Nothobranchius furzeri: one gene and its partner. The protein of the gene in region 2 interacts with the protein of the main gene of each other region in a biochemical or structural test. Links are inferred from orthologs where the notes say so. Each region holds a gene or a part of one and is shown on either strand. Other genes may lie near its edges.

What was found.
Region 1: the proteins of sgta (region 2) and ubl4a form a complex in vitro, tested with the Homo sapiens proteins (3 studies listed by BioGRID, with this or other methods). The link is inferred for Nothobranchius furzeri from reciprocal best matches to the Homo sapiens genes SGTA and UBL4A.

What each region holds. Positions count from the first base shown.
Region 1 is NC_091757.1:40,380,200-40,384,235, forward strand, and holds the start of ubl4a (ubiquitin-like protein 4A), read right to left. Parts: upstream 2,807-4,036; 5' UTR 2,617-2,806; coding exon 2,569-2,616; intron 1-2,568. UniProt on the Homo sapiens protein: As part of a cytosolic protein quality control complex, the BAG6/BAT3 complex, maintains misfolded and hydrophobic patches-containing proteins in a soluble state and participates in their proper delivery to the endoplasmic reticulum or alternatively can promote their sorting to the proteasome where they undergo degradation.
Region 2 is NC_091748.1:79,890,821-79,895,050, reverse strand, and holds the start of sgta (small glutamine-rich tetratricopeptide repeat-containing protein alpha), read right to left. Parts: upstream 2,809-4,230; 5' UTR 2,669-2,808; intron 492-2,668; exon of another isoform or gene 247-491; intron 1-246. UniProt on the Homo sapiens protein: Co-chaperone that binds misfolded and hydrophobic patches-containing client proteins in the cytosol. Mediates their targeting to the endoplasmic reticulum but also regulates their sorting to the proteasome when targeting fails.

The sequences.
Region 1 (4,036 bases), on a different chromosome or scaffold from region 2:
TTTCTTTCATGAATTCCAAAGTTTGCGTGGAAAATTGCTTGCGCAGTTTTCCAACCCCGTTGTGCGTGGCCCCTGGACTTTAAATATTCTGACTAAAACTGTCAGTGTTGTGCCGTCGTCCGGTAAAACCTCTTCACTACATTTAAATTTAAACCTGCCACTGCTATTGGCTAAGAGGTATGCAATGACGTTAGCTAGTACATTTTGATGTCACAATGCTTTTGTGAGCCTGTTTGTGTTTATTTGTTAGCGGCTCCGCTCTCTCGGTCTGCCAGGCAACAGCATTTGTTGCATTTTTCAAAGATGAAGTGGGAGTAACGTGAATTTCTTGTAGGGGGTGACTAACTCTTTAAAAAGCAAGTTGCAGGTAACATATTTTTTTCTAATTCATATAAAATGCTGTCCAAACATACTCTTTGAAATGCTTATTGTGGATATTTGGTTTAAAAACAGCAGTTTTCTAGTAAAAAGTGGCCTCTCTCAGCAAAGCTTCTAAAAAGGCTCTTTTTTTCTAAATCTGAACCTCTGATGTAACCAAAGGGAGTTAGAAGCTAGGCGCTGCCTCAGCTCTGTGTGGAGAGTGGGTAGTTTTAGGGTAGAGCGGTCATGTTATCCAGTCAGCGTGTGTGTTTACTAGTTTTGGATTGTGTTCATGTTGATAAACTATAGTTTGTGAAGGCTGTACCAACTCCAGCCTTTCTGGACATCGAGTCCACGGGTTTCCAGATAAGAGAAACTACGCCTCTATCTCACATGCCTGAGGGCGTTTTGTGCAGCTGAAAAGACGGGACTTCTGTAGCCCAAATCGGTTGGTACAGAGACAGGGAGGTCTGCGCTGGGCTCTGGAGACCCGTGGCAGGGTTTAAAAAAGTACATTCAGATTTCTGGAACTCAGATCACCGTCAGAACCAGGTCAGAACCGACCACCAGAAGAGACAGGCGGCTCAGCGGGCCAGCTGTTTTTTTTTTTGGTCCATCATAAGTATAATTACAAACATTTAAAGTTTCCTCTGTGTCAGAGCCGACATTAGGATCTACATTTTTCTCTAGATTAAGCTAACAGGACCCCGTCGGCTGACTTGGTTTGGCAAAGAAATAAAAAAAAAACTCTCTCACAAAAATGACTCTAAAAGCCTAAATAATTTATGAATGTGTAAAAAAAAGTTTAAAACGAGTTGCTATTATGTTTCTCTAAACATTGGTTTATTTGAGTCTCTAACCTGCAATTTGCTCTTTAAGCAAAAGCATTATTTATTTGTGGTGTTTTAATCCAGCTAAATATACAAACTTATACTCATTACTGCACCACAGTTGTGTTTTTTGTACAGGATTAAATAATGTAGAATAATTACTAGCCTGTTATAATTTTTGCTGCATTTTCACACCAGAAAATGGTTAAAAGCAGAGACAGAAGACTGGTTCTTTGTGTGAGTTTGGATATAAGGACAGGAAGCACTGAGAGGAAGTAAAAGAAGCACAAGCAACTGAGACGAAAGTGACGCAGTAACAAAGTTTAGGCAATTAACTTTGCATCAACTTCATGTATCATTTTTTAAATAAACTCACTGTTGGTAATGACATTTTCTGTTTATTTAGGAAACAGAGAAGGGTATTATAGACAGGTTTCTCGAGTCGCTAGCAAACATTAATGAGACTGGATTCAGCCAGAGGGAAGAATAATGAGATTCTTTAAGCTGCCGACTCAAAAATGAAACGAATTTCAATGAATATGTTATTCTGAAGGGCAAAGTTTAAATCAGGCTTGTGAGAAATGTAAATGACAACTTTTGAATTTGCTCACCGTGATTTCGTTGTCCTAATTTACATAAATTAGAAAATGTCTCGGCTGTGGTGCGCTGTTGGCTCAAACCCCAGACCTACTTAAATCTGTAAAATCATTATAAACAAGAAATTAAAAGCGTATCAATTATTTCTGTGTGTAGTAACACGGGATTGAGTTACGCAAGATCAGACTCTTCACATCTTAAAGACAAAGGTAGACGCCACAATGATTTGGGAATTTAGTTTACCTCAGCTATTAAAATACAACCTTTTGATTGTCACGCGACGGTGCTTTAAAAGATCGAAGTGTTTACAAATGAGTAAACACATCTAATTTCCAAATGTTGAAATTGAATGGAATCTGCACGTTTACGAATTAAAAACGGAATGCTTTGGTTTAAAAACTAAAGTTCTGGGTGATTTCCCTGTTACGATCACCATAGCAACCATACTCCAAGCTAACATTTGTCCAAGTCATACAGTCACGCACAACCTTCCACTTTAATAAATACAACCAATAAAGCATAAAAACGTGCATTTTTAAGGCCTCCTGTGACATTAGTGTTAACTAGCAGGACAGCTTCGGTAGAGATAACGTTTAAACTCGTCTCAGATGTTTATGTTTAACCGGTTTAACCCCACATAACCTACATAGAATGGTGTGTTTTGTCTAATTTCCTGACTAAAGAAGCATATATGTTCTCCCTTTACTTGCAAACTAATATGATAAATAACCATCGGTGTGCTGGCTACACCGGCAGTTAGCATCATGATGCGTTAACTCACCTGAATGTTACATTCCAGTCCTGAAAGCGGCTTCACCGTGATAATCATTATGAGAGCCGCAAAAATATCAAACCAAACACACGCGAAGAGGTTCAAACTTTAAATGATTTAAAATGTACCCAAATAACGTTACTTTAGTGGTTGGTAACGAGCAAACAGATTGTTCTCTTCTCAGTGGAACGTCTTCTTCTTTTTTCTTCTTCTGCGACTCTCCTCTGTTTCTTCTGCAGCTACTGCTTGCTCTCAACTGACAACAGCGCCACCGTCTGGCAGGAATATCTCAGCCCTTCAAACAAAACTGGAAAACAACAGAAATCTGCATTTCAAACGTAGAAAATTATGTTTAAAAAATCACAATTGATTCAAACACACTTGTGAAAATCAGCATATTTCACCTGCAGTAGTCGTCTAACATCAAGCCTATTCTGTCCGCCCGAGAAAATAAAACAGGCTTTTAATTTCACAGCCGAAATACCCCCAAATACCCCGATTAGACTTTTGTGAAACAGCTTCAAGTTTGCTTGTTTTAAATATATCGCCTTTGTTCTTATTTTTATTATGTTTCCTCACGAACTCACACTTCCATATTCGAGCAAAAATGAATTTGACACAAAACAACGCTGAGTAGCAATTACATTGAATTGCAATGTGTTGCCAAATAAAACATATAAAATAAATCACAGATTAACGTAAAACGGACCTATTGAAATGGAGCACAAACGCCTCATTGGACAGAAGAAGGAGCTATCAGAGTGCACACAGATAACCTTTGATTTGTTTTAGCTGGGGGGAAAGGCTATTCTCAGTTTGACGCTCCCCATTGGTTCCGATGGACTCCGAGGACCGTCTGACCCAATTCGGATCCAGTCCACGCATTTGTCATTACCTCTCCCCTCCCGTATGGATGGTCTCCGAGATGTTGGTCACGTGACTGCCTGTCTACGCTGCCTGCTCAGTCCCGGCCAGCAGGAGAAGCATCTTTCACTCGGGCACTTGCAGGAGAGATGTACACACCTGTCGGATGGACGGAGTCAAATAAGCACGCACTCACGGGAGTGAGGAAGAGGTACTGATCGATACCCAGACTGCACGTGGTAAGTGATGAGTGTCTGAAACACTATTATAGTCTTACTGGAGCATGCAAAACACATTTCATTTGTTATCTATCTATCTATCTATCTATCTATCTATCTATCTATCTATCTATCTATCTATCTATCTATCTATCTATCTATCATCTATCTATCTATCTATCTATCTATCTATCTATCTATCTATCTATCTATCTATCTATCTATCTATCTATCTATCTATCTATCTATCTATCTATCTATCTATCTATATATCATCTATCTATCTATCTATCTATCTATCTATCTATCTATCTATCTATCTATCTATCTATATATCATCTATCTATCTATCTATCTATCTATCTATCTATCTATCTATCTATCTATCTATCTAT
Region 2 (4,230 bases):
ACTCCCGACTCAAAGTAAAAACCTCATGAGCTTCTTACTCTGAGCTTTTTAATAGTAAAAAAATTAGACTTTTTTTCTTAATATCTCCTGTTGCGGGCTATTTTGTAGAACGTAACCCTCAAAATAAATGATCACTGTATATTGTTAATTAATTCAAATAATTTAACATTGATTTAGTGTTGTAGTGTGTGTGCTGCTTTATTTTATATGTGTACTTATTTCAGTCTATTTGTGTTTCTTATGCAGAAAAAAACAAGCAACGATGGACAACTACATGGGGAAGAAGACACTCACCCCCCAGCAATGCATACCACTTACAAACTCTATTCTAAACATGCTGGTAAAAGACATGAGGCCACTATCCATGGTGGAAGGAGCAGGCTTCCAGCTAATGCTAAAAAATTATTCTGGACTGATATTTTGCACTGTTTAGCTCATTTTCTACTGCTGACTGTGTTCATGTGCAATAAAATAGATTGCAGTCAACTGCACAATTCTCTTATGTTTTTTTTTCTTAACTGAAATGCATCCATCACTTGTATAGGTTAAATAGCTAAACAGTAACAAACCGATAATCGATTAATCGAAAAAATAATCGACAGATTAATCGATTATGAAAATAATCGTTAGTTGCAGCCCTAAACGTAACACATGTCTATAACAGCATCAGTGGGGCTGGGTACCATGAAGTACTTATTCATACTACTACTTTAACGATGGCGAGAAGAGAGGATAACAAAGTACTTAAAGGTTGTGTTCTTTATATTATTTTATTATATTTATTGATATTATACTTTATTCCAGCAAAGCTGCAGTGCAAACAGTAAAGGCCCAACATGTAAACATGAATAAAGCAGCTTCATTAGTGCTGACTTCATGTCAGTAACAGCAGTTAACAACAACCTGCTGAACTGCTTTTATAACAGCAGCCAGGTCTGCTGTCATCAGCCTCCATCCTCACACTCCTCCAGGGCTTGGGAAGGTGATGGACTCGGGTTGACTTGGTTGCAGTCAGAGACGTTCCATGTTCCAGCTCTTAAGATGCCGCCCTGCACGACCAGGTGCTGGTGAAACTGCTGCTATTCCTGCTGATGCATTTAGCTGCTGCGTACTTTAGCTAAACGACCCAAACGTTTGTTTTCTAGTTAATGTTGCTGAAAGGAGACGCGCCTGCTCCACTCATAACGTGACCCGGGATCAGTCATGTGACCTGCAGTGGCACATCGGGACATTTTAACACTTTTTTCTGATATTTGGGACCTACCAAGGCCGGATTAACCATATGGGCAACTGGGCAATTGCCCAGGGGCCCATGAACTCTAAAGGGCCCAGGGCAGCAAGGGCAAGAGCAAAATACTGTATCTGTAATCTCCTGCTTTCAGTGGCGGCTGGCCAGTAGAGGGTGATAGGGCGCCGCCCTCCCAGTTTTCCCCAGTGTTTTTAATTTTAATTAAAAAAAAATAAATAAAATTAACAATAATCACATATTCTAAGTTAATTGTGTGATTTGTAACAAAAACAAATCATATATGTATATATCTATATTGGTGAGAAGCTCTCTGCCGAGCGGTGGAGGCGACAGAAAGGCTGTAGGCTGTGTTTCAATCGCCCAAACAGCACGGAAGCTGCCGGCCAATTGCTGACAAGAAAATCAAACGGTAGGAATGGGAATGTATCCAATCAGCGTCGACGTCGATTCAGAAGCATGATGGGCGATAGAGCTACCGCCAAAGGCTTTCGTTGGTATTCGGTAGAACTCGGAGAGTCTCGACTACTCCAGCACGTTTTTGGTCGTGACGCAGATGTAACATGGACGCCGCCGGTGACTACAACCAGCATGGATACCGGATCTCAGCAGCCACTGAATTCAGTTCGGTCTCTTCTCCAGTATCCGTTCGAGAGGAGAACTATGGTGGAAAACTTAATGTCAAAGAGCTTGGACCAGAAGAGAGGGCCTCAAGTTAAGACCCTCTCCTCATTGGTCAGTCCACACGAGGTGGGTCAAAGGTTACCCTGAGCGGGTTACGTGATGTCAGGCATTCAAGTATTGAGTATATTTACTGCATATTACAGTAAAATATTCTGTATGTGACCATATTGTGGTGATTCTTGGGTTGTTATGATGGGGCCCTTGAATATTGTTGCCCAGGGTAACAAAGTGTTAATCCGGCCCTGGGACCTACGAGTGTTTCCACTCAGTCCCAAAGAGGTCCAGAGTTCTGGAACCCGCCCTAGGCGTCAGTCAGCCTTTCTCATGAGCTGAGATGTTCTATGTTCCTCCTCTGCTGGAGGTCTGTGTGGTCCACGCGCACGCGCACACACACACACACACACACGGTGTGTGTTTACCGTTTTGGATCGCTGCTGTAGCGCGGGAGCTGAATACGTCACGTGTTCGGAGTATTTAGACCCGAGGCGGTTCTCTATTATTGGTTCCGCCACTCTATTTATGCTACGTTATAAAACAATAAGGTGTAATATAAAAATGATGGTGGTTGACAAATGAAACTCTAGAGGACAAACACGGTACGGGTCATTTACGTTCCGCACTCATTTTAGACCTTTTAAGGAATCATTTCCAAATTCCTAAATTCAACGCTGTTAGGACTTTTTAGACCCCGCGGAAAGCCTGCAGCCAGGACCGAACCGGAAGCTCGTCCCTACCCACCTGTCCTTCTGCAGGAGTCCGGATAACGAGCCAGTCCTCCGGGGCTCAGGCAGCTCCAGGGTCCGCAGAAACACCTCCACCTCTCCGGACACGAGCCTGCCCGTGACCTGGAGCTGCGTCCTGCTGAGGCTCCAGAGCCTCACAGGAAGTAAAGATAAAGTTAATAACCGTGTCTCTAAAATCCTCATAACGAATCATTTCCGCCTCCGACGAGCAGAAATGAAATAAATGAGGACAGACTTTTGCAGCTTTCCTCCTGAAGACGCGGTCAGCTAAAGGCGCGTGAGCGGGTTCATCTGAGGTGTTTAACTGGAATCTTTACCTGTTAAGTTGTTCTCACCTTTAAAACGATGGAAAAGGCGTTTGTATTTTTCAGCGCTACGGCGGCCCTACAGGGACAAACTACGTGAAGCGCGACTTTCCCTTTGACATCGCCCCCTGCTGGTCTGTTTGTATAGTTCATTTACTCCAATTATCCATAACATTATGACCACCGGTTTCCACTGAACGCGTCAGAACAGCAACCATGAGAAGCTTGACCTTTCAGCCTAAGAACCCACAGCTGGACTCCAAATTCAAACTCCCGCTTGAGTAGCGAACACTTGGAGAGTCATCCATTCACCACGGACTCCAGGGTGCACACACCTTATTTCAGACTTCAGTTAGGATTGATGACACTGAAGCGTTAACCATAAAATCCTGACCTGAGGTGATATTCAGACATTTGTGGACTGGCTTACATTTAAAATTACAGAATAATGAACCCTTCAAAAGTAGCAAAATACAAGATTCATTGGCAACCTTCTCATTTTTTTCTGTAAATATATATTTACGTTGTTGTTTTAATTAAAATAATTCACAATTTATCTCACAATTCTACATGTGTTATATATATATATATATATATATATATATATATATATATATATATATATATATATATATATATATATATATATATATATGTATATATATATATATATATATAAACACATGTAGAATTGTGAGATAAATTGTGAATTATTTTAATTAAAACAACAACGTAAATATATATTTACGTTGTTGTTTTAATTAAAATAATTCACAATTTATCTCACAATTCTACATGTGTTTATATATATATATATATATATATATATATATATATATATATATATATATATATATATATATATATATATATATATATATATATATATCAGATGTTTTAAATGTGCCTGCAGGTTAGGGTTGTTGTGGAATTACAAAGTTTTTGTTTAGTTTGGTTTTTTTCCTGCCAGGTGTTCATTGTTGAGTTTCTCGCTGCTGAACCTCATCAGCTAAGAGTTTTAGGTTATGTGCTCTAGTTAATGAAAGGAAGATTTAAAAGATTTTTTAAACCTTTATTTAACCAGGATAGAGACCCATTGAGGTTAAGAACCTGGCCAAGAGGCAGCAAAAATACAAACAGTTACAACGTCATGACAATGATAAAACACTCAGTCATTAGAAGCAGTTACAAGTTACTAATGCAATCTCTGAAGCTGTCAGTTTGGTTTTGAAGGCATTTAGTGAAACTTGCT